Linked DNA regions of Schizosaccharomyces pombe. The protein of the gene in region 3 interacts with the protein of the main gene of each other region in a pairwise test. Each region holds a gene or a part of one and is shown on either strand. Other genes may lie near its edges. The genes, in order: arp2, ted1, man1 and ish1.

The links.
Region 1: the proteins of man1 (region 3) and arp2 interact in a two-hybrid assay, tested with the Schizosaccharomyces pombe proteins (2 studies listed by BioGRID).
Region 2: the proteins of man1 (region 3) and ted1 interact in a two-hybrid assay, tested with the Schizosaccharomyces pombe proteins (2 studies listed by BioGRID).
Region 4: the proteins of man1 (region 3) and ish1 interact in a two-hybrid assay, tested with the Schizosaccharomyces pombe proteins (2 studies listed by BioGRID).

The regions. Positions count from the first base shown.
Region 1 is NC_003424.3:4,780,842-4,785,509, reverse strand, and holds arp2 (ARP2/3 actin-organizing complex actin-related protein subunit Arp2), read right to left. Parts: upstream 2,489-4,668; 5' UTR 2,456-2,488; coding exon 2,408-2,455; intron 2,384-2,407; exon of another isoform or gene 2,358-2,383; coding exon 1,233-2,357; 3' UTR 745-1,232; downstream 1-744. Other genes in the region: Golgi 4,6-pyruvylated galactose (PvGal) residue biosynthesis protein Pvg5, read left to right, coding at 1-348; protein Fta6, read left to right, coding at 3,237-3,267, 3,315-3,463; pheromone p-factor receptor Mam2, read right to left, coding at 3,776-4,668.
Region 2 is NC_003424.3:4,080,705-4,086,005, forward strand, and holds ted1 (phosphoprotein phosphatase), read right to left. Parts: upstream 2,802-5,301; 5' UTR 2,072-2,801; coding exon 779-2,071; downstream 1-778. Other genes in the region: protein adg2, read right to left, coding at 1-246; apt1 (adenine phosphoribosyltransferase), read left to right, coding at 2,982-3,065, 3,244-3,726; alpha mannosidase Mnl1, read right to left, coding at 4,316-5,301.
Region 3 is NC_003424.3:5,234,340-5,240,723, forward strand, and holds man1 (LEM domain-containing protein Man1), read right to left. Parts: upstream 4,040-6,384; 5' UTR 3,980-4,039; coding exon 1,445-3,979; 3' UTR 817-1,444; downstream 1-816. Other genes in the region: SPOM_SPAC14C4.04 (uncharacterized protein), read left to right, coding at 1-757; poly(A)-binding protein Nab2, read right to left, coding at 4,466-4,708, 4,755-4,853, 4,897-5,478. UniProt on the Schizosaccharomyces pombe protein: Required for correct meiotic chromosome segregation.
Region 4 is NC_003423.3:2,515,385-2,521,263, reverse strand, and holds ish1 (nuclear envelope Ish domain protein Ish1), read left to right. Parts: upstream 1-2,550; 5' UTR 2,551-2,960; coding exon 2,961-5,015; 3' UTR 5,016-5,139; downstream 5,140-5,879. Other genes in the region: Ran GTPase-binding protein Hba1, read left to right, coding at 494-1,693; Golgi GRIP domain protein Grp2, read right to left, coding at 5,204-5,879. UniProt on the Schizosaccharomyces pombe protein: Has a role in maintaining cell viability during stationary phase induced by stress response. Activated by the spc1 MAPK pathway.

The DNA.
Region 1 (4,668 bases), 450 kb from region 3:
TTGCCTGTTTCATTTTATGATAATTATAAACTTAAATATACATTGCACTTTTGGCAGCCTCCATCTTTTCCCGATTCCTCTACTATCGACGATCAAGCCAAACTTTTATTTGACTACGTGGTGTCCCAAGTTGTGAAGTACCCATATTTTGTAACTGATATTTATCAGATACATTTACTTGGCGTTTATCTTAACTTGAAGCATGTTTATTTACTCGAAAACGATGACGTGGAAGATGCTTATTATGAACGACAGTGGATGCAGGCGTTCCAGCGGAAAAATGTTGTTGCTGTAGCTGAGGAACTTCAAACAGCTCTTCGAATAATTGAACAATGGAAGCAACTTTAAATTACTTCTTCTGGATTCTTCTCTTATTTACTCCAGTCGTTTCTCCTTTTTTATTCTTTGCTTTTGTTCTTTGTTTTTATATTTTCATTTTCATTACTGTTGTTCTATGTTGTTCATTTTTTATTCACATATTTTCGGTTTCACGTTGTTTTTCATCTGTCGGTTTCACGAGGCATTTTGTCTTCGTAAACTACACTTTTATATTTGTTCTTATTTATTTAAGGTTGTTTCAATGTTCCGTCGTTTTGTTTCCTAATGAATTCCTCTTACACCGTTATGAGAAATTTCAGTCGATTTGTGCGGCAATTTCTACTCCTCTTATGCTGTCGTGCTTAATTAAGAGCATTAATTTTTCTAGGCTGTCTTGGACACATTATTAATGGTTTATATATACAATTTAACAAAAAAATTAGGTCGGTAATTTATTTATTTACAATAATAGAAATTCCTGCTTTTAAATGTTACTCATGTTTTCCGTGGATGTCAATCTTCAGAAAACTAGAAGCTCAGAATGTCAAGCTATTTTTGTTAAAACTAGGACCTAATAAGAAAACGCCCTAAATGGGCGAAACCAAATATATACGTCACGGGAGTCTAGTCATTAAGTCTGTTGCTATTGAAGTGTACTAGTGCATATTGAGTAAATAAGATCGTTGGTTACAAAAAGGTTGTATAAACATCAAGCATAAGTAAATAGCCCATCAAAAGAAAAAGGAATCAAAAAGGCAAATAAAAGAAGGAATCGTACCGTCTTTTAACGATGGTCGGATTAAACAGAAAACGTAATCATTTAGCAAAGTTTGAAATTTATGAATCAAACTTCGTATAACTCAATTTACTAGCACATAAAAAGAAAGAAACAGAACATTAAACATAAATATACTCTAAGTAGTTCTAGGACCCAATTTGTCTAGTGCACGTACTCCATACTCCTCCCATTCTGCCTTGGACACCCACATGTGATCGTTTTGAGCCATGATATCTGCCAATACGGCGCCGCCGATAAACACGGCATGACGGCGACGAGGAGCGTCTTCAATCTTAACCTTAAAGTTAGGCAAACGTGCGGGATCTCCATGAAGAACACGCTCAAACCATAACTGTTTTATTTCCTTTTCAAGACGTGAAGGAAGACCGGCATACATACTGCTACCACCTGAGAGAACAATGGCGCGATACAAATACTTGCGAATGTCCACATCAGCTGCTTGGATAGTGTCAAAAATAAATTCACTCAAACCTGGTTGTTCACTACCAACCAGATGAGGTTGAAATAGACATTCTGGACATTCATAACGCTCAGAACCAACTTTAATAACTCTTCCATCAGGAAGGGTGTAATTACGCATTAAAACGGTAGTTTCTTCGCTAAGCTTATGGTCCAATTCCAAATCATAACTAACGTAACAAAGTTTTTCTTTCATCTCGCGAACAGTTTCAAAGTCTGCTGTACGATTGAAAGCATAACCCTTACGAAGAAGTAAGCTAATCAAATAGCGGGTAGCATCCCTACCGGCAACGTCAAGGCGACCAACTAAATGATTTAAAACAACACTTTCATAGACAGGCACAATATGGGTTACACCGTCACCAGAATCAACAACTACACCACTGCTTAATCCCTGTGCGTATAAAGAGAGAACGGCCTGAATGGCGACATAAACACCACCAAAACCATACCGTTCAAACATTGTCTCACACATTTTTTCGCGGTTAGCAACAGGATTCATAGGGGGCTCGGTCAACAAAATTTTCCTACCCCTCGGATCAATTTTTAGTTTTTCAAAGAAAGTGTAATCCCAAAGTTGATTCATCTCTTCAAAATCACGGATAATGCCATTTTCCATGGGATATTTTACTTGAAGTAAAGATCTCACCGCCTCAGCTTCATCACCGACCATAACATCTTTAATTTGAACATTTCCTGTTTTCTCTTCAGCACGTAAAATGGGCCTTCCTACGATGGATGGGAATTGAAAGCGCGGAAAATTGTCTTTAGCATATCCGACCTTGCTAACGTTAGTCACAGTGTAAACAAAGATTTAATTAAACTGATTACCTTCACAAAACCAGTTCCATTATCTAGAACAATGGGAGCAGACTCCATTTTATAAACGTCTCGTGTAGTTGGTGAAAGGTTAGTTCTTAAGTCCACCCCTATGTAATGTACCGGCGGTAACTATCTGCCATATACCGTATGACACAGCAGCACTGCAACTGTAGCAGAGCATTCGGTGATATATCGTAAATATGTAATATCGTAGGAAAGCGAAGTGCAGTAATCTTGAGAATTATAAAACAGAAATGAAGTATCTAAATTAATTTAACAATTGGCTGCAAAAAGAATAGCTCAAAGGTTTTTACGGTTAATGATCTTATCTTCTATTGTACTTAGCATTAGTATCGTTACCCCTTATACTCAAAGCCATAACTGTGCATTTATAATTGTTCGGCAGTAATGTATATTATCGCTTATTAGTTAAAAGATTCTTCGTTTCACATAGTATTACTATTATTTAAAAGAAAAACACGGACTCTATTTGTTTGTTTAATGTGCAGGTAACACTTCGATCGTTTATTATGAGATTGGTATGACTAGGAGCGCTGTGCAAAAATGAAGAATCGCGGAACCGATTTAATAAAGAATTTATTTCTCTAGTAACTAGATGTGTGCATTAAATTGAATACAAGACTTAAACAAAAGAATTATAATTATCGACATATACCATTATTGAATATTTGTCATCTGTTTACTGAAATAAGTGGAGCAATGCAATTTGAGAATAACACATATCGGTTTAAAGATCCTTATTATATTGCTATTACTAAATTAAGGAGTGTAACGTTTCGCAGCTAAAACATTTCGATACAATATTTGATAAAAATAAATGGAGGATAAATACATTTTATTGTCAGCAGGTTGGTTATAATTTTTATTTAATAGCTCAATACTTACGTGTATATAGTGGAAACGTTTAAATCACGTCTGGAAGAACTGCTAATGCAATCGGCCAAAGTACAAAAGCAAACGATGCTTAGAAAGGAATTAGCTTCTTCGATGAATGATATGGCTTCTACGGTACAAGAAGCTTTAAATAAAAAAAAAAGTTCGTAAGGTAAGCACTTGGAGACTCAAAACATTATAGTTCATTATAGATTACGAAGGCAGTTCATTCACTATTGTTTTAATAAGTGTTTGTGAAGTACGACTTGAAGTTTTCATGATAATAAGTTATTATAATCATATAATTTCATTGATGTTTATAGTAAACAATTGTTCATGAAGCGAAAAAAAAAAAACCATTAGAAAACTTCCCTCTGAGCAAATTATGATTACAAGCCTATCGTAAAAAAACCGTCTATGTTATTTGGGACTGTTATTGAGCCAGTATTAGGAATTATCAAAAAAGATACATTCAGGCGTAAGTTACGTCCACTTTTTAGTTTCAGATTCATCAGAAATCGAATAATCGTCACTGGGAGTATGTTTGATATCAAACGTTCTATCAACTCTAATCGAAACCTCGGTGGTTTCTCCTTGCGCAGATGAAGTTTTCATGCTTTGCAATTTCAGAGCTGTACTAGACGCCCATAAACTCGAAAGAGGAAGAGAAATGATTAGCAGACATTGAGTCATAGAGCTAAAGCCATCATACGTATGGATAAAACTATCTATTATAGTAAAGGTAGCTGGAACAATAAGACATTGGCAGCTAATAACTAAAATACACTGCATCGGACCAAATGGAAATTGCCCAATTTTTTTCCGTATTAATATGGCACGAAAGAGTTTGTATGAAAAAACACCACTGTGAAAAATAATGCTAAAAGCAAAAAGTATTTTAGCAATAAAGTAGGGCCAAGAGTATCCAACAATGGTCTTGCTGCTAAGTGGAGTTAACCATAACAGATACTGAATCTGTTGACACATGTTAGTAATCCAAAATGCGAGAACCAAAACAGTTAAGCAGGCACTAATAACAGTCATTATCCTTTGTGTCTTTCTATCATGTGCACAAATTATACGAACTTGAATCATCATGCTCATCTCAGCAGTAAAAATGATGACCGGTGCAAGCAACAAAATTAAAATATTAAACACATGGACATACATATGAACCATGTTTAAGATAAACCCGTAATTAACCAGGATACTGTAGCTATTGCTGCATATGGTCACTATATTCAAAATGGCCCGAAGACACATTGCAACAATACTTGCCGAATTAAAAACAAAAACTGGGTGTTTTCGTTTTTCGGATGATGACAATAGACAAACCATCAAAATGGTAAGGACTCCTAAAGCAAGTTGGGCAGACA
Region 2 (5,301 bases), 1.2 Mb from region 3:
AGCAGGAAATGTGGCATTTTCATCAAAAGTATTGATGGTCATTATGTAACGGCTTGTTGGTGGATACTCAACTTCGTTTATTAACCAGACATTAGCCTGCAGGGGATCAGTGCTGACCACACTCCATTCCAAGGGTTCAATATGTCCACTAGTCCAAACGTCTGAAGAAGAAGGAACATTAATTTCCATGCCAGCACAAAGCTTGGCTAAGCTAATTAATAGCCCGCTGATGGTTAATCTTCTCATTTCTCAAATAAATCCCTAGTTCGGCAATTGGCAGTGCACAGGCCTTCAGCAAGACGAATACCCAACTAAAAGTAGATGGTTAAGGAAAGAAAGTAAGCGAGAAAGGCGACTTAATATAGCACTTGGGTTTCTGATATGACCTAAGTGTATTAATGCTCAAAAGTGGGGCAATGCTGGAAACTGTATCGATGTAAACAAAAACAATCGAAAAATTGTGGATTCCAGAGAGACATTTATATTTGCACCTAAATTAGATAACGCATTCTTGGGTCGCGTTACTATGGTAACATTGGTCGACTTTGTGTAAATAAACATCCAGCACTACTGCAAGAAAGTACAAAAATGACGTTAAATGTAATTAAGGCACCACGTTAATTCAATGAATCTGCAGGTTCTTGGTTAAAAACCAGCAGAATGGCTGGTAAAAAAGGTTGGTTTCTCTCAAATTCACCTAAAGGCTGGATATATTGCCTGTTTAAGAGGCTGGTGTAAATATAAAACTGTTCATTTGAACAATTAGTGCACAACAATGTTAGATATGTTGCAATGATATTACCAATAAACGTAAGATGGTAAGTACGCATACCGATATGTGAAGAGCCCACCAAATATAAGATGGTCCTCCGTGACTCAAGGTATAAGTGGCATATATGTCGGAACTGAATTTTGACTGTTTCAATGAAGCCTTCTTCCATCGTTGGCCAATGAGTTTTTGAATCAGAAATGTAACAACCGAGGGTGTGTTCTTGGAGGACTCTGTAAGAACATCATTTGTCGCGATCAGTTTGACAAAACCAATATTTCCTCCAAAGTACCCCATTGCGCTGGGTAATGTATGTTCGATGGCACCGTTCGGGTGTTCGTAGTCACAACCCATATGATCATGGCCAGAAAGGACCAATTTGATGCTAGGAATCAATTCAAAAATTTTCATAGTAGTATTATACGATAAATGATTTTGAGACTTGACCCGAAAATCCAATTGACGAACGATTCTCGGTTCGTCAACACACACATTAGCTGGTTTGTAGAGTGGCACATGGGTGAACAGTATGGTTGGAATAGACGGCTCTAAAGCAATGTCGAAAAGAAATTGCCAAGCATCCCTAGCTTCTTTTGAAAGAGCAAGTATACCTAATGATGAAAAACTTTTACTGTTAATAATATCGCTAGGGTTCGCATCGTAAAACTGAACATCATCAAGCGAAAGGCTATTTATGCCGATCACACGGACAGGAAATTTAGAAACATTGAAGTGCGAAACCCAATTTACCGGGCCCATAGCTTGTTCCCATTTGCTAATTTGTGCGTCTGAACTTTCGCAGCCATAGCCAATGTCATGATTACCCGCAATCGTCCAAACGGGAATGTTACCGTTTTCAAAAGTACGTGCTGGTAAACTGGAGTTTCCTACTTGCCAAAAGTTTTTTGCCCCAGTGATTTTTTTCAGTCTTTTAGCTCTTTTGTTGAATTCTTCGTTATCCAAGTGCTGAAAACTGACCAAGTCACCCAACAGAATCATCGCATCTGGTTGACCCCAAAACTGATTCATATGTACAAGGTGTCGTAAAAACAAATCATTCCCCCAAAGATCTAAAGTGCCTTTAAAAAATCCATTTGCTTCGATTTTATGATTCCCTTCAATCTGAGGATCAGCAACCCCCATAATAACAAAAGAATTTTCATCTTCGAGTTGCAGCTTTCTTGGCATTATGCCAAATAGTAGAGGATAGGCATAGTAGACAGCTAAAAAAACTAGGCAAAGATAATGTAAAATAGACAGTTGTTTGTTCAACCATAATAAATTCGGATGTCTTGCAAACATTATTGACTTAATTATGTCAACGTAAATTAAAAAAGGGAACGGAGAGAAGGAGCGATTTTTGGAGTGCCTATTTTTACTTAGGAGCAGACTAAACGAGTAATGTAGAGGCGTAAGATTTTGGTTTTTGCTTTACTTACTAGATTATATAAATGGTATACCACCATAAAAGTGTCAATAAAGCTTTTTAGAAAGATTTGCTTTCAAATAACAAGAAATGAGCAGAACAGAATAGAAAAACAAAAAGCACAAATGAAACAACAAAACTTATTTTTCTAATCCATGAAGCTAGTAAATGGGTAATTTATAGGTATAGCTGCAGTATTCGAACAAACCCACTGCTAAAATTTAGATTGCAAATCAATGGTCAAATGATTGATTCAAAATTCCTGAAAAAGAAGCTTGGTTCTTAGAAAAATGTGTATCGATGTTTGCCGTTGAAATTTTTTTCTGAATTGAATTAATACCAAGTGTATCAGTATAACTGGCTTAAACAAATTAAAAAATAAGCTTTCTACTGAATGTAATAGCAAAAAACGGCTAATAATCTTGACCGAAGTTTGTTTAATGATGAACAACGGATATGACTGAAATTGCTTGAAGTGTATATCAAACTAAAGAAGGAATACCTCAAAACATGGAGTTGTGGCTGACAGTTTTCACGAAGAAAGGAATGGAAAAGAGCGTCGAATTTCAAACATAAACGTTTCTTTTAGAGCTCGTCTTAGCTGCCAAAGTTAACCCGGTACACTACTTAGTATTAATAGGTGAATTATGACTGACGTTTTTTACATTAAACGGATGGTAACATGTTACTTGAAAACAGCAGTCCAAAATTTTCGCTGCATAGACGGTAACGGAAATTGAGTATTTATTTTTTTTTGTAGAAGTTTTTACATAGCAATTTACTAAAATGTCCGACGATAGAATCAATTACCTTAAGAATAAACTTGTTCAATATCCAGATTTTCCCAAAAAGGGAATCTTGTTTGAAGATGTAAGATTTTATAGAAGGAGGAAATGCGCGAGGTTGGATAGGAACGGTGATATTATTTTGCTCAATTAGCGTGAAGTTTGAATCCAAAATACAATTCGAGAGGTTATATTATCTTTACGCCTTGCAATTGCTTAAATACTCTGTTAAATTATAAACAATAAGATGCTAATGTTATTAGATAATGCCCATTTTTCAAGATCCCAGAGCCTTTGGCATCCTTATCGATCTTTTGCTTGAAGCCGTTGAAACTGAATTCAATAACATTGATGTGATTGTTGGTTTGGAGGCGCGTGGATTTCTTTTTGGACCTACGTTGGCTTTACGTGCAAATTGTGCATTTGTCCCTGTCCGTAAGCCCAACAAGCTTCCCGGTGATTTGGTCGTCGTAAGCTACAATAAGGAATATTCTACTGATTCTTTTGCAATCCAAAAGGGTACTATTAAACCCGGTCAAAGAGTCTTAATAGTTGACGACATTCTTGCTACTGGTGGCACCGCCTTGGCTGCTGATGAACTCGTTACTCGTTTGGGTGGTGAATTAGTTGGACATCTCTTCCTTTTAGAACTTACATTTCTTCAAGGACGTAAGCGTCTTATGGCTCCTACTTATACACTTCTTACTGGACAGGATGAAGCACCTGATGGTAGTGAATTTGCTTAAACTATGAACTCGAAGTATGTATAAGCATTTCTAATTTTTAACGTTATATTTGCTTTATTCCTTTTTTATAAATGTTTAGGGTTCTGGGTTTTTTTCTATGGTTTATTCGTCAAGCTAGGATTTTTTTAGTCTAAGTTGTAAATTGAATAAGTTATACATTTTTCAACTAGTATTCTAAAAAGTAGGATTTTTGTTAGCAAATATATATAAATCGGGTGGAAATCGATATCTTAAAATGAAAAAAAAGAAAAAAGGATGCAACATCATAAGGAGAAAAGCTTATAAGGGTCATAAAGGGTATAATTTTTAGAATGGTCAATACCACGCTTTTCTTTAATATAAATAGGTAGATACATTCAGCTTATTATAAGCCTATTGACGAATCCACGTTATAATATAGCCCTCGATTAAAAGTATAATTACAAGAGAAAGCTGAATTATCCAAATATACTTTTATTAAGTATTGAATGGATAAACATCTATAGGCTTTGAAATCACGCAGCACAAATATTTTTTAAATAGTAAAAAGCATATATGACCGCAAGTCTATACACATGCGTAAATAAAAAATCACAAAACAGCGTTATTCCTAGCTGTTTATGCATTTCAGACACAAATATAGGTTTGAAACTGGAGTTCCTTGGAAGTACGAAGGGGCGTCAAAGTCTGATTGACGCACAGAGACGTTGGCCCATTTAGAAACAAAATTGTTTTCATTTTTTAAGAGAATAGTCGGAGGGATGTATGGTTTAACCCAATTGAATAGACTGTTTTGAGAATGAATATTTTCTAACGGATTAATAAATTCACCATCCGTGATGAGAATTAACAATCCTGCCTTATTGGTATTTTTTGCTTGCTGCACCCATGAGCAGTTGCCAAGTGGAGCAATATATGCTGTATCTTTGTCGAGAGTATCGGAGGGTTTTTGACACATACTGTTATTTAACAAGACTGTCTTAAAAACCTTTGAAGGTAAAGAATTATCGTTGTCAAATTGAAGGAATTTTCCAAACGTTTTTTGACCACTGTTCGGATTTTCTAGCTGAGCAATAGTTCGATCAAAGTACAATGCATCAGGTCTTGTGAAGGTCTCATAATCCGGATCGGTTAGGAAGACCGTGTCATTCTCATTTATAGATTCAGCTCCAGCAGTGTATAAAAACAGAGAATTAGAACCTTCTTTTTGAACGAATTTAAGTTTATTACCGATAATGTCGGATATGTATACATTATTGGTTACACGTTCCACTGATTTTATAGGACTAACAAGTGCACTTCCATAAAGGAGTTCAAAACCATCGGAATACTCTGGCCTCTTGCAAACACCCGATGGATCAATTAGATACGAGGGTATTGCTTTGTTATCAATTCCTACTAAATGAGAGACATAATCGTAATCGTCTCTAGATGCTATCAACGAATATAACATTGGCCATTTAGATCTGTCGTAATCTTCTGCAACACAAACTTCTCCACCGTCGTAAATTCTTTGAGAGGTAGACAGTCGTGTTTGATTTGTCACGGGAAACAAATGACCTTCTGTCGTAAAAATAAAATCATGGTGACTTCTGT
Region 3 (6,384 bases):
GCAGCCCTTTAGCAATCCCTTGTGGGTGCCTACTCCAGTTGGTAGATCGGGTAGAAAGCATAGAACGCTTAAGATGTGTATTGTATTACCAGACACTGGGTACGATGTTACTCAGGTTTGCGATCCTTGGCAATTTTTTGTAAAGGAGGGATTCATGGTTAATTTTGCTACTTTGACTGGTATTGTTGCTCAAGCCGATCAGCGCCTTTTAAGTGGAGTGAAATCTTGGTTCATCGGTGCCACATACAAGACTAAGGATATTTATGAAAGAATGTCAACTACCAAAGAATTTTTAAGTCCTTCAAATATGTCTGATATGAGCTTTACCTTTGAAAACTTTGACTTGGTTTATGTGCCAGGAGGGCAGGATCCCGCTGTTTTAGAACTTGTAGAGTCTCCTCGTCTCAGTTCATTGTTAGCTGACTATATACCTTTATGTGCCCGTGTTAGTGGCACCCGCGTTTTAGCAACAATGGCTCAAGGAGCAATCGCTGTTCAGCGGGCTGCTCCCAATCTTGAGATTAAATCGACTACGACTCCACTTTATATGGAAAGAGCGTCTTATTTATTTGGCGCATCTAATCCTCCGGCTTATACTTATACTTATATTCCTGAATCGAAATACGTACCAGGGCCCAAAACTGCTCACTGGGTTTATTCGGACGAAAAGTTTTTCTATGCTTCCGGTCGTTACTCTGGCGATGTTGAACTACTTTGTAAAGCTTTACGAAATCTCGTAGCAAGTGCATTGCATTAATCTTTCTTATTTGTCTTTACTATTTTATCTTATACTAAACGTGTTAATTATTTCTTTGTTGAGTTTCCCAGATTCTATTTTAATTTCATATTCTATAAATTTCATATTTCTGCGTATTTAGAGTTATATTGCAATAAAGATAATTCAATTTGCGAGTTTGGCTTTTGTTTGATTTGGAGCATTTTATGGCCCTTGTTTATCGTTCATTTTTAGTCCTAGAACTCTAAAAGTGTATTAGACCTGTTTTAGACTGTACCGTTCAATACCGTCGAGGCATTGAATTTTTACAAACATGCCAGAACCCTTCAAAATAAGAACTGTCACATGGAACTCTTTATTTTCATTGAGGCCGGATGCCAAATGCTAATTTGAAATGCTCTTTTAGACAGCTAATGCAAACGGTTCGGGTCTAAATTTGATATTCTTTTTTTAATTAGAAAAACCAATGTTAAATTAATGAAATTTTCGAATCTGTTGATTAAATTTTTCGATAGTGTTTCAATCTATAAGCTCCTGTGCTTAACAAAGTGCAATAACTAAAAAATAATTATATTAACGTGAGGAAAATAATGTTGACATAATAGTACCTACTGATGCTGCACTCGTATCTAGATTCATAAATCATCATGCCAAACGACATTCATAAAGTTTGACCTTAAGGTCATTTTTTATATATCTAACCGTATTTTATAAGGCAATGTCATCTGAAAAAACCCCGATCCATTCCCAAGCACGATTTTTTGCCAAGCGCTCACTGTCCCATACCTTTACGCTTACCATTCCTTCAAGGACTGAAACCACCTTTTCCCATATTTCTAATTGAATTGACAAAGGGAGATGTACAAGTTCAAAAAGGCCCTTGTCATCTGCGACTCCAGATACAAAACAGTCAGAACGTAGCTGCACGACTTCTACACGAGGATTGACAGAAAAATCTGTCAAGGACTTTAGCTTGGTTTTTTGTAGCTTAGCAATACAATGTGAAACGCATACGGAGACTCCATGCTTTACTACATGCTTCTTGGCATAGACTCTTATTCGCCATACAACGGTACCGGTAATAGCTGCCAATATACCAATCAACAAGTAAATTCGCCAACAGGATATAACTGCTGAAGTCAAATACTTCATTAAGGAAACTGTATGAGAGTAGACAGATCGCAAACAATTAGTCGGAAATTTACTCAATGCCCCACGTACTCGGAGCTTCCATAGCTCAAGAGTAAATAGTGGAGAAAATAAGTAATATAGTACTTTTCTTGTCAGCTTTGAATTATATAGACGGTTTAAAGTAGTCTTCAGATATACTTTAAAATCTTTAAGTCCGACTACATTATCGATGTCCTGCTTATACATGTAATATCGATCCTTAAAATTGTCAACAAATGATTTTCCGTTTAAATTCTTTGCACTTTCAAAAGTGGCAAATTCTTTAGGGGCTTTATAGTACCACTTTCCGATAATAGACATAAATGCCTGCACCATCTCTTCAACCTTATTAACCTTCACGGTATTCGGAATACATCGTGGGTATGGTTTTAAGCCGAAATCTGCAAGTAAAGGAAACGAAGCCTTTAATCCTTCTTTGCAAAATAACTGACGATTGAAACCACATTCAGCGTTCTCAGGACAAGGTTGACAAGAGGCTTCAATTCCTAAAGAGTGAGCAAATGAATATGCAGACTCAATAGAGGAACGTAAAACTCCTGGTTGGAGATAATATAGACTAGAAGGATAAGGTTCGGCAGGAACTCCACAGAAGCCAACGCGCTGTACTTCTTGATGCCAAAAGCCTACAAATCCCAAGAGAGGTACGACAAGCAATACAAGCCATAAGGAATTTACCACTTTGGTAAAAGAGAAAATTAAAGAAATGAATGAACCAAGACTAAAGTATGGCCTTTTAGGTTGCCTATCCTTAGTCAAGGAAATATTTTCCTCCACGCGATCAATACCCGTAGTACTAAGACCGAGATCAGAAGAAATCTCATTAACCGAATCATCGTCGGGTTTTTGGGAATCAAATTTTTTCTTCTCTGGCGTCGATGTATTAGATGCTTCTAACCCAAAATTTGTAGAAAACGCAGGGTTGACAGGACGATGAATTGATGCATTTGCTTCGTACAGCTGATTTAGGTGTTCTACAAAAATTGAGGAAGATTGAGATTGAGGAAGGGGTGATGATGAATTCTTTTTGGGATGAGTCCATGAAAAACTGTTATTTTCTGGAGTGAAGTTCTCCGAATTACCAGTAGACAAGCCAACCAAATTGTTGAGTTGGTCAAATGACTTGTTTGATTTGAGATAAGAGTCGGAACTTTGTTGAAAATTTTTTCTGACTGAAAGAAGGTTACTTGGATTACATTCAAGCGAATTCAACGACGACTTGATAGGAGAAGCGTAAACGCTTGACGAACGGGAGGTAAACTTAGGCTTTAGGTTTTCGCCTAAGAAACTGAGAAAAGAACTTTGGTTCAATGGATTTTCGCTTTTTGGAGACGTCGTGTTCAATACCTTTACTGGCGTTGGATCACCCGACACGGAGGCATTAACAAGATAGCTTTGATCATAGTCTAAAAACTTTGAAGCAGGTGTTACGATATTACCAACTTCTGCAGAAAAATCGTAAGTAGCGGTGTCTACAGAAGAATCCTTGTTTGTTAAATTCTGGACAATTGAAAAAGACGATTCCATTGAGTTGTCGAGGTTTACAACTGCCGCATTAAGCTCAGTTTGCGTCTCAAATGGTATATGTGTTATTTCTTCGTTTCGCGAATCTATTTTGGCAATCTTTGAGGCATGAAATTCAGATTCTTCTGAAATGGTTATCGTGTTAGTATTCAAAACTTGAACGTTCTCGTCCTGTAACATCCCCATCACATTATCTTCAAATTGTGAAGTTTTAGAAATTTCTGTATCATTAGCCTCGTCAACCATATTTATTTTTCTCTTAGAGCTAATTCGAGCAGTAACATTATTCGTAACCCCTGCCACCCTTCTACGAGGACTACGAGAAGACGGAGGAACGTTCTTTTGCTGCAATTCTGTCATAGAGATCAAGCCATTTTTTGCCCTTCGTAGTTTACTGAAAAGCGTGATTAACTGCGCTTTCTTCGCCGTTGACGGATAGTATATTTGATATTCAGTTAATATATTACGCAAATCTACTACTCGAAGAGACGAAGGATCATAATCGGGGTCAAAATAAGAAGGGACCTCCATTCAATTAAAAAAAACCTTTTAACTAAAGGGTATGTGTATAGACGTAAAACTGGCGAATGTAAATACCAAGTGATTGTTGTCAACAACATGGTGTAAGCCAAGTAACCAACAAGTAACATAAGATGTATTTAGTAATGAATGTCAACAAACGTGGGTATTTGAATATGTATAATATTAACTTAACCGAAGAAGTAAATAAATCATTATTTGCATAATTCACATCAAAATAAAATTTTCATTCACTAAAAAGACATCAATATAACGAAAACAAATTTTTTAAATCAATTTAGCGACTTGATAATTGCCGATTGCAGCAAACGTAGCGACAAATAAAACTTTATCGTTTTAGCAATCTATACAATAAAATAAATATCAAGTTTGCAAACTCTAGAAGGTATGTTCTTAAACGAAGTATCCTGGCTTGACTATCAAAAGTAGATATGTGCCAATTATACGAACACGAAATAGTATCATAATTCTCTAAATTTACACAGAAGGAACATGAAGTTGTTCTTCTGACTCGTTAACAGCAAACGAACGTTCACTCAGGGACGTCTCTTCTGTTTTAGAGGGTGGCCGCCATGTCATATTTCTGCTTTTCGTCGGGTGGATAAAACGACAAGCTGGATTCAAACACGGTTTATATTTACAAGGAATTGGAATGGTTGACATGGACATGAAAGGTGGTAATGTAGTAACCGTAGCTGGAGATGGATGTCCCTTGACACACTGTATACGTTAGTAATAGTTAGATTTAAATTATTATGGTACTTACATCAGCAGCTTTGCATTCTTTACCAGAAGCACACATTTCACTGCTCAGGACCATACCTTCTCCTGGGGCTGCGGCTGGTGTCGGATGAGCAAATATACACTAAAGAGTTAGTTTTAACAAATTATCTGATATTAATACATACGTTAGCACGGGAGCACTTATCGGCATATTTGCACAAAGGGACCTCTTGGGTTTGAGTGAGAGCACGCTTGGCAGCAGGCATAACGGATTTCGAGTAGTTAAACGAAGCTGCCATGGGATTGAATCGCTGTTTCTGAGATGTAAGTTTGAGCTTTTGTCCGACACGCCCAGTAGGTAGCTCCTTCTCTTCACGTAACGAAGTTATATTAGGAGTTTGAGAAGATTGAGGTTGTATGCTAGTTTCCGGCACAGAGAAAGATTGCTGCGACTTGTCAGTTGACTCCTTCTCGATAAAATCGATTTCGTCGATCTTGCTGACTGACTCAACTGAAGCATTTTTTGATTTTTCAAGCTCTTCAATTTGATTAAATAACCAAAGTGAGAAGCTAGTATCAAAATCGGACCCTATTAAATCAACTAGTTCTTCATTAATTTCAGTTTGTGTTTTTCCATTGCTAAGCATCACAAGAACAAAATCGGCCAGAGAAGCAGCCTCTTCTCCCCACCCATATTCAGAAAGTTTTTTTTCAATCGAATCATGAAGTTTTTCACTATATCCAGGTGTTTCCAGTAATGTAGTCATGTTGTTGGTTTACAGTCAATAATTAACTAAAATAAGCCAAAATAATAGAGATGCTCAAATTTACAATAAATGTACTCCGAGAATTAGTAAATCAATTCCACTCCTGTTATGGAATCAGAATTTAATAAGTTATGTACCGGTATATGCTCTAAAATGAAATCAAATAGCTCAACTTAGCATGAAATAAAGGAATTGAGAAGAAAGAATACAATCACAAAAATATGTTCACAGACAAGAAGTTGGCAAATTTGCCGTTCCAAAAGAAATAAACTTCCTATAGATGATGCGTTCGGAGAGCTTCAATGGAATACGTAGACTAAAGGTAATTTCTAGTAGCAATAGTTATATTGATACTGCAAGCCGTAAGTTAAAATACAGCAAGAGCCTCAGTTCAAACGTAAGTGGAATATAAGAAATATCTTTCACAGTAAGAACAGAAAGAATTAATAAATAGCATAAAATAGCGAGTTTGCTAATTTTTTTTCGAATATTATACCCAATTTCACTATAAGAACTATTCAACGACTAACGATGACACTATAACGCCACAACGTAACAGCATTAATTAAACTAGTCCAGAATCTAAGCGTCTAATATATATACATCTAAAGGCTTAGCCAACTACAAAGCAATTACATTGCATTGTCATTTTGGAATATAGTTATTTCTTCATAGTAACTAGTAGTTCAAAATTACTTTCTCGAGCAAATATTTTCCTTCGGTTCTCAACCTTCTTAGTAGCACCAACTACCTAAAGTCTTCTAATTATCTCGAAATCGAAAACGTTGTGAAACGTATATATTGCATATAGAAAAATTTTTAGGATATAGGTGCAAGGAATTTTACAATTGATGCTGCAGTTTGAGGGCAACGAGTTAATTGATTATTGCGAACATTTCGAGTAGA
Region 4 (5,879 bases), on a different chromosome or scaffold from region 3:
ATTGTATTTTTTTATTCAAAGGTTCTACTTTGTCAATCATTTTCAATTCCTATTTCGATATAGCTTAGATTTTACAATAATACTTGTTATAATACTGTCTATAACTTTTACGTTAGCCGAAGATTAGAAGTCAAGCACCGTATTGAAATCAAAATTATTAATAATGAGTAAGTGAATATATACCAAGGTTGAATGTTTTTTAACTTTTTAAATAGACAGTTATGAGATTTGCACTTCATGACATGCTAGATTAGCGTTTTTTTTCAAATGAATTTAAATTATTCGCAGCTGTTCAATGAATGTAATCGTATAATTAAATCTTAAATCTTTAAACAGCTGTGTGTTTGATTGAATCCACATTCGTCCTCATGTACTCATAGCTAGGTGAAATATATTAGGCTTTCAGTGATTCGGGATTCCAAACTACACTTAATACCCCCAACATCAAAAATTACGAAAATACGATTAAGCAAATAATATTTAAGTGGATATAATGACCAGCAAAATGGAAAATAATAAAGATGAAAGCATTTCTACCAAAAATGCGTTAGAAGAAAAATCGAACGAAACAAAAGACGAAACTTCAAAGCGAAAGCACGATCCGGCAGAAGAAGAATCAGCGGTTTCCACTAAAGTCTCGAAGAGTGAACCGCTGGAAGATAAAGGGAATGCTGAAGTTAAGGAATTTAAAGAGACTACGAAGAGCAATGGCGTAAAACCGGAGGTTGAGATTACTGAGTCTACTAAAATCCAAAAGGAATCAAACACGGAGCCATGTATCTCAACTGGAGGTAAGGTAGAAGAAAAAGAATTGAAGGTGAATAAGGATGTTGATGAAAATGAGGGACACGTAGCTGTAGAGACAGGCAAAAAAGAATCGGCTGCTAAGCCTGCCGCGAGTGTTTCTCCCTTTTCACAATTTGCTTCATTCTCTAATGCCTCGTCTCCATTCTCCAATGTTTCAACCGCCTCCTCTGAACCAAAAGAAGAGAAATCAGCATTTGGTGCTTTCGCTTCTTCAAAGTCAGCGTTCACAATGAAGAGCGTTAAGGATAGCCCATTTAAAAAGTTTGCTGCAGGAACAGCAGTTGAAACAGAAAGTGGTTCTGGCAAAGAAAAAGAAAATGATAAAAAGAGTTCAGAGAACTTTGACGAGTTACTTGCGAATACGTCAGCCAAAGCATTCGAGAATCAGAAAGGTTCAGCTGGTGAAACCAAATCGGAACCTAAGGAGGCTGACAAGGGTAGTGGAGACTCAACAAAGTCTACTATGCATCAGTTGAGTGATTCAGAAATCATCACTGGGGAGGAAGAGGAGGAATCAATATTCAGTGTTCGCGCAAGACTTTATGTTGTTGCTGATGAAAAAAAGACTTGGAAGGAACGTGGGCAGGGAATTTTGAAAGTAAATGTTCCCAAGCAAAGGGGATCAGGCTCAGGCCGCCTTTTGATGAGAAATGATGCCGTGCATCGAGTTATAATGAACGTGCCTCTTTTCCAAGGCATGTCGAAAAAGTCATTACAAATTGCATCAGCATCTAGTGGTGGTTCTGCTAATTACTTAAAGATCTTCGTTATTGAAAATGGAAAATCTGTGTTATATGCTGTTCGTGTCAAAGATAACAGTTTGGCAGAACAACTACGCAATCACGTTTTGGAAGCCATTCCTAAGGGTGGAAGAGAAGATGCATGAGCGAGATAGAAGATCCACTCGTAAAATAGTAAGTACTTTTCGATTCTTTTTTAGCTCTTCACTATGGTTCTTATTCATTCGAAAGTCCAAAAATATTATATCTATATGCAAAATATGTCACGCTATAGGACGGGTTAAAGTTATACATGATTTAAATGAGCCGATCCTATTGACTTTTAATAATTGATTTTCCGGGTCAGTCTATTTCTATACACTCGTCTTATCATTGGGAGGCATACCTCTATAACTACAGTTTTTCAAAATTACTAACAATGTGTACATCACAGTACGTATTTTATTTCCTCCATTTTTACCTAATTTAATCTTCATATTGCTCAGTACGCCATCTTGAAGGAGCAGAGAGTAGTAAGTTTTGCGATCGTTTGTCCTTTCAAAATTGTGATTTTATCCACCATACAACCAGATCATCGCACTTCGAGATTTTTATCTCTCTATGTATATTTTTTTCATTTTCAAATCATGAACTATGGCCGATTGCTGCTAGCATCAATGTGATTTTACACAGCAAATACATCTAGCAGCACTCTAACATATAATCAAAATTTAAGATTGCTATAATACTTTAAATACGATATCAATCACCAAATATAATTTTATTCAAGAGTATCTTAAGTCAGATTGTGCGCTATCGTTAATTTCCTTTAATCCCTAGTTACTGATAGTTAAACTCATGATGTATTGTCTCCCCTTCAATTCGTTCTAACGACGTTTCTTAGGACTTCTAACTAACGAACCTTTCCTCATTAATTTCGAGGGAGTTTACGTCAGTTAGATTATCTGATGCAATGCCTTTTTTTAGCGTATATATAACATGCTATTGCCTCTGGGAATTCCTCGCTTTCCAAGTAAGCTACCTATAGTAATTACTAAATTTTCTCTGTTTCTTTTTTAACTTGGAGGTTATTGTCTCTATAATCCTTGATTAGGATTGTTTTGTTTCTTCACTTGTGCTCTTTGTATTCCATTTTAGGTAAAACTTTGGTCTAATACATACTGTGGTAGTATTTAGAACTCTGGTTTATTTGAAATTTGTGTTAAATAGGATTCTTTAAAGTGGGTTATTTTCATCTTCCGACATACCTTTCTCATTATCCCTTAGTTTAGTGATTCAAAGTTCAACTTACCGTTTAGTAGGGTTTACTTTTTTAGTTCCCTCAATTTTATTTCAAGAGGAATAATTTATATTTTTTATTTTCCTTCTTATCTATCTTCTTTTTGTGATATTTATTTATTTTGATTTGTAAAAATGCGTTCTCGATCAGTGGCATCTTTAGGCGTCTTGCTTGCCATCGTCTTTTATATCTTTACGTATGGGTTCTCTACCTATCGAAAAAACGACACCTCCGCTGTAAAGACTTGGTTAGAGGAGCACTCAATCCCATATGGATCAAGAAGCTCTCCTTCTGACTTTCAGCAATTTATCTCCGAATCTTATGATTCCTTGGTCCCTAACCTTGACAAATGGAGCGGCCATAATTTAAATTCTTGGTTGGGAAAAAAAACCGAATCTTCATATCTTGATGCTATAAGCAACAAAATTCGTAAGACGGGTCGTAAACTTAGTGGCTCTGTCGAGGATGCTCGGGATGCCACTCAAGAAGCCTGGGAGTCACAAAAGGCTTCGCTTTTCGAATCTTGGTCTGATTCACAATTGCGAGCCTTTTTAGCTAGACACAGTCCCCAATTTGCTGCTAAAGAGAAGAAAGGCATTCTGGAGAAGTTGAGTCCTGCTTCACTTCGCGAAACAGCTGCAAAGGAATATGATGCCCTCACTTCTAAATTAGGCAATACTGGAGATTGGATTTATGATACCTGGTCCGATAACGAATTGCGCACCTGGCTGCATGATGTAGGTGTTCCCATTTCTTCCCATGAAAGTACTCGTTCTCACTTGCTTAGAAAGCTGAAGAACTATATTTCTACTAAAGCTGACGAAGCCCAACCTTCTGTTGAAGCTGTAAAGGGCAAGGCTTCCGAGAAGGCAAAGCAAGCTGGAGAATTTGTTTCTGACAAAGCTGGCGATGCTAAAGAATTGGTTAACGAGAAATCTAGTGAAGCTGGTCAATATGCAGGACAAAAGATGGAAGAAGGTGGTGAACTTCTACAAGAAATTTCGAAAAGAAGGGGCAGATTTGGTAATTGGTGGGCCAATTCTGGACTAAAAGCATATTTTGACGCTCATGGTATTCCTGCTTATCAACCATCTCCAATTGATCAATTTTACGCTCACCTTCGTCGTCAGTATTACTTAAAAACAAACGGTTATCAGGCTCTAAAGTCAAAGGCCTATGAGGAAGCTTCCAACGTGGCTGACTCTGCTTCTTCTATTGCCTCTAATGTTGCAAGTGGTGCTACAGAAGCCTATCAAGGCGCTGCTTCTGGAGCCTCTCGTTTTACAGAGGGTGCGAAAACCGCCGCAGAATCGGTAACATCTGCATTTGAACATAATAAGGATACTGCCACTTCAAAAGCCAAGCAAATGAAAGGTAAGGCTGCCAGCCTTGGCTCTACTGCCTCAGAGAAGGTAGGCGAAGCTGCTGACTATGCTGCTGAAACCGCTAGTAAGGTTGCCAGTAAGGCGGCATCTAAAGTACGTGAAACAATAGATGAGACCATCATCGAGCGCTGGCAAGACTCTAAATTGAAGGAATTTTTGTTCCTTCGTGGAGTTCCGGTTCCTCAGCGTTCTACTAAGGATCAATTACTGGACCTTGTTCGTAAGCATTTCAATAAAGGCGCTGTTCCTAATTGGGCTGCTTATTTTGATACTTTGAGCTCCAAAGAGCTTTCTGCCTGGATTAAGGAATACAAAAAACATTACCATGGAAAACTTCACCCATCCAAAGATCGTGAACATCTTTTCCAAAATGCCTGTAATATTTATCGCGCTATTGCTGAAAAGGCTGACAAATCTGTTCTTCAATCGATTCAATCAAAGTTTCCTAAGGCAACTGTTCCCGGTTATGACTCTTGGTCTAATGAAGATCTAAAGTCTGCACTCAAGGAATATGGTGACAGTATTGGTAAGGTGTTTAATCGTAAAGATGCTATTGAACGCTTAAAGCGTCATGATATTTTATTCTATGGTCCTGTTGTTGCCGACAAGGCTAAATCAGGAGTCTCTGGCTTCCTTCGACGTGTTGCTTCTTTTATGGGATTTGGCACTCGCGACGTAGCTGAAATTAAGCTAGGAGAAAACATTCAAAAGGTAAAAGATACTGCCTCTAAAGCCTCATCTGCTGTATCTTCAGCAGGCGACTATGTCGAAACTAATGTAAAGAAAGCCCAAAGGGTTTTGTAAATTGTTCATGAACGTTCTTAATGTCTATTTATATTATTTAAAAAGAAGGAGATTACGTCTAAAACGAGTTCTCGTTTAATATATGACTTTTAATGAAATATCTATGTTCATATTCGCTACTTAACCTTCCTTGGCAAGTAATCCATCCTATTGTTAACATTAATATAATCCATCAAGATACTTTTTTATTAATTTAAGTTTTTCAGAATTAGATGTTGGTGCACCTCCTCCAAATCTAGAGCTGTGGAAAGAATTGGTAAAATCTTATCGCGATGTTCGTGATTCTCTAAAAATTGCAGTAAAACATTTCTAGCATATTCTTTGTTAATCAATTCTTTAGAAATATTGCTTATAACAGGTGGCTCGAATGAACCTGCTGAATCACTTGAAGCTTTGGGCAATATTTCACTGCTCATAACACTGGACAGCTCGCTCTCGTGAGATTTGACACTTTCCTTTTGAACCTTTTGCTTTTCAATGAGTTCTTTTATTTCATCCCTTGACTCCACTAACTCGTTTCCAACATTCCTGAGCATATCTTGAAGATTTTCGTTTTCTTCCTTTAGTTTGCAGACCGTTTCATCAGATTTCTCTAATCTTTTTTTTATATCAAGGTGCTCTTGCTTCGTATTTAGAGCATCCCTGTTGTAGATTTCTGCCTTCTGTTCGGCTTCGTCGCGTTGAATTTGGATCCTACGAACCAAGTCACTCAAGGTTTTGTTTGCATTCTCCAACTCCTTTACCTTTTCATCTAGAGGTTTTTCTTTATCTTTTGAATCGATCGAGCCGGAGCGTTGTTCCTCTAAATCATTATTACCCACAAATTGTTCTGAAGGACCATTATTCTTCTTCTTTTTTCTGTTT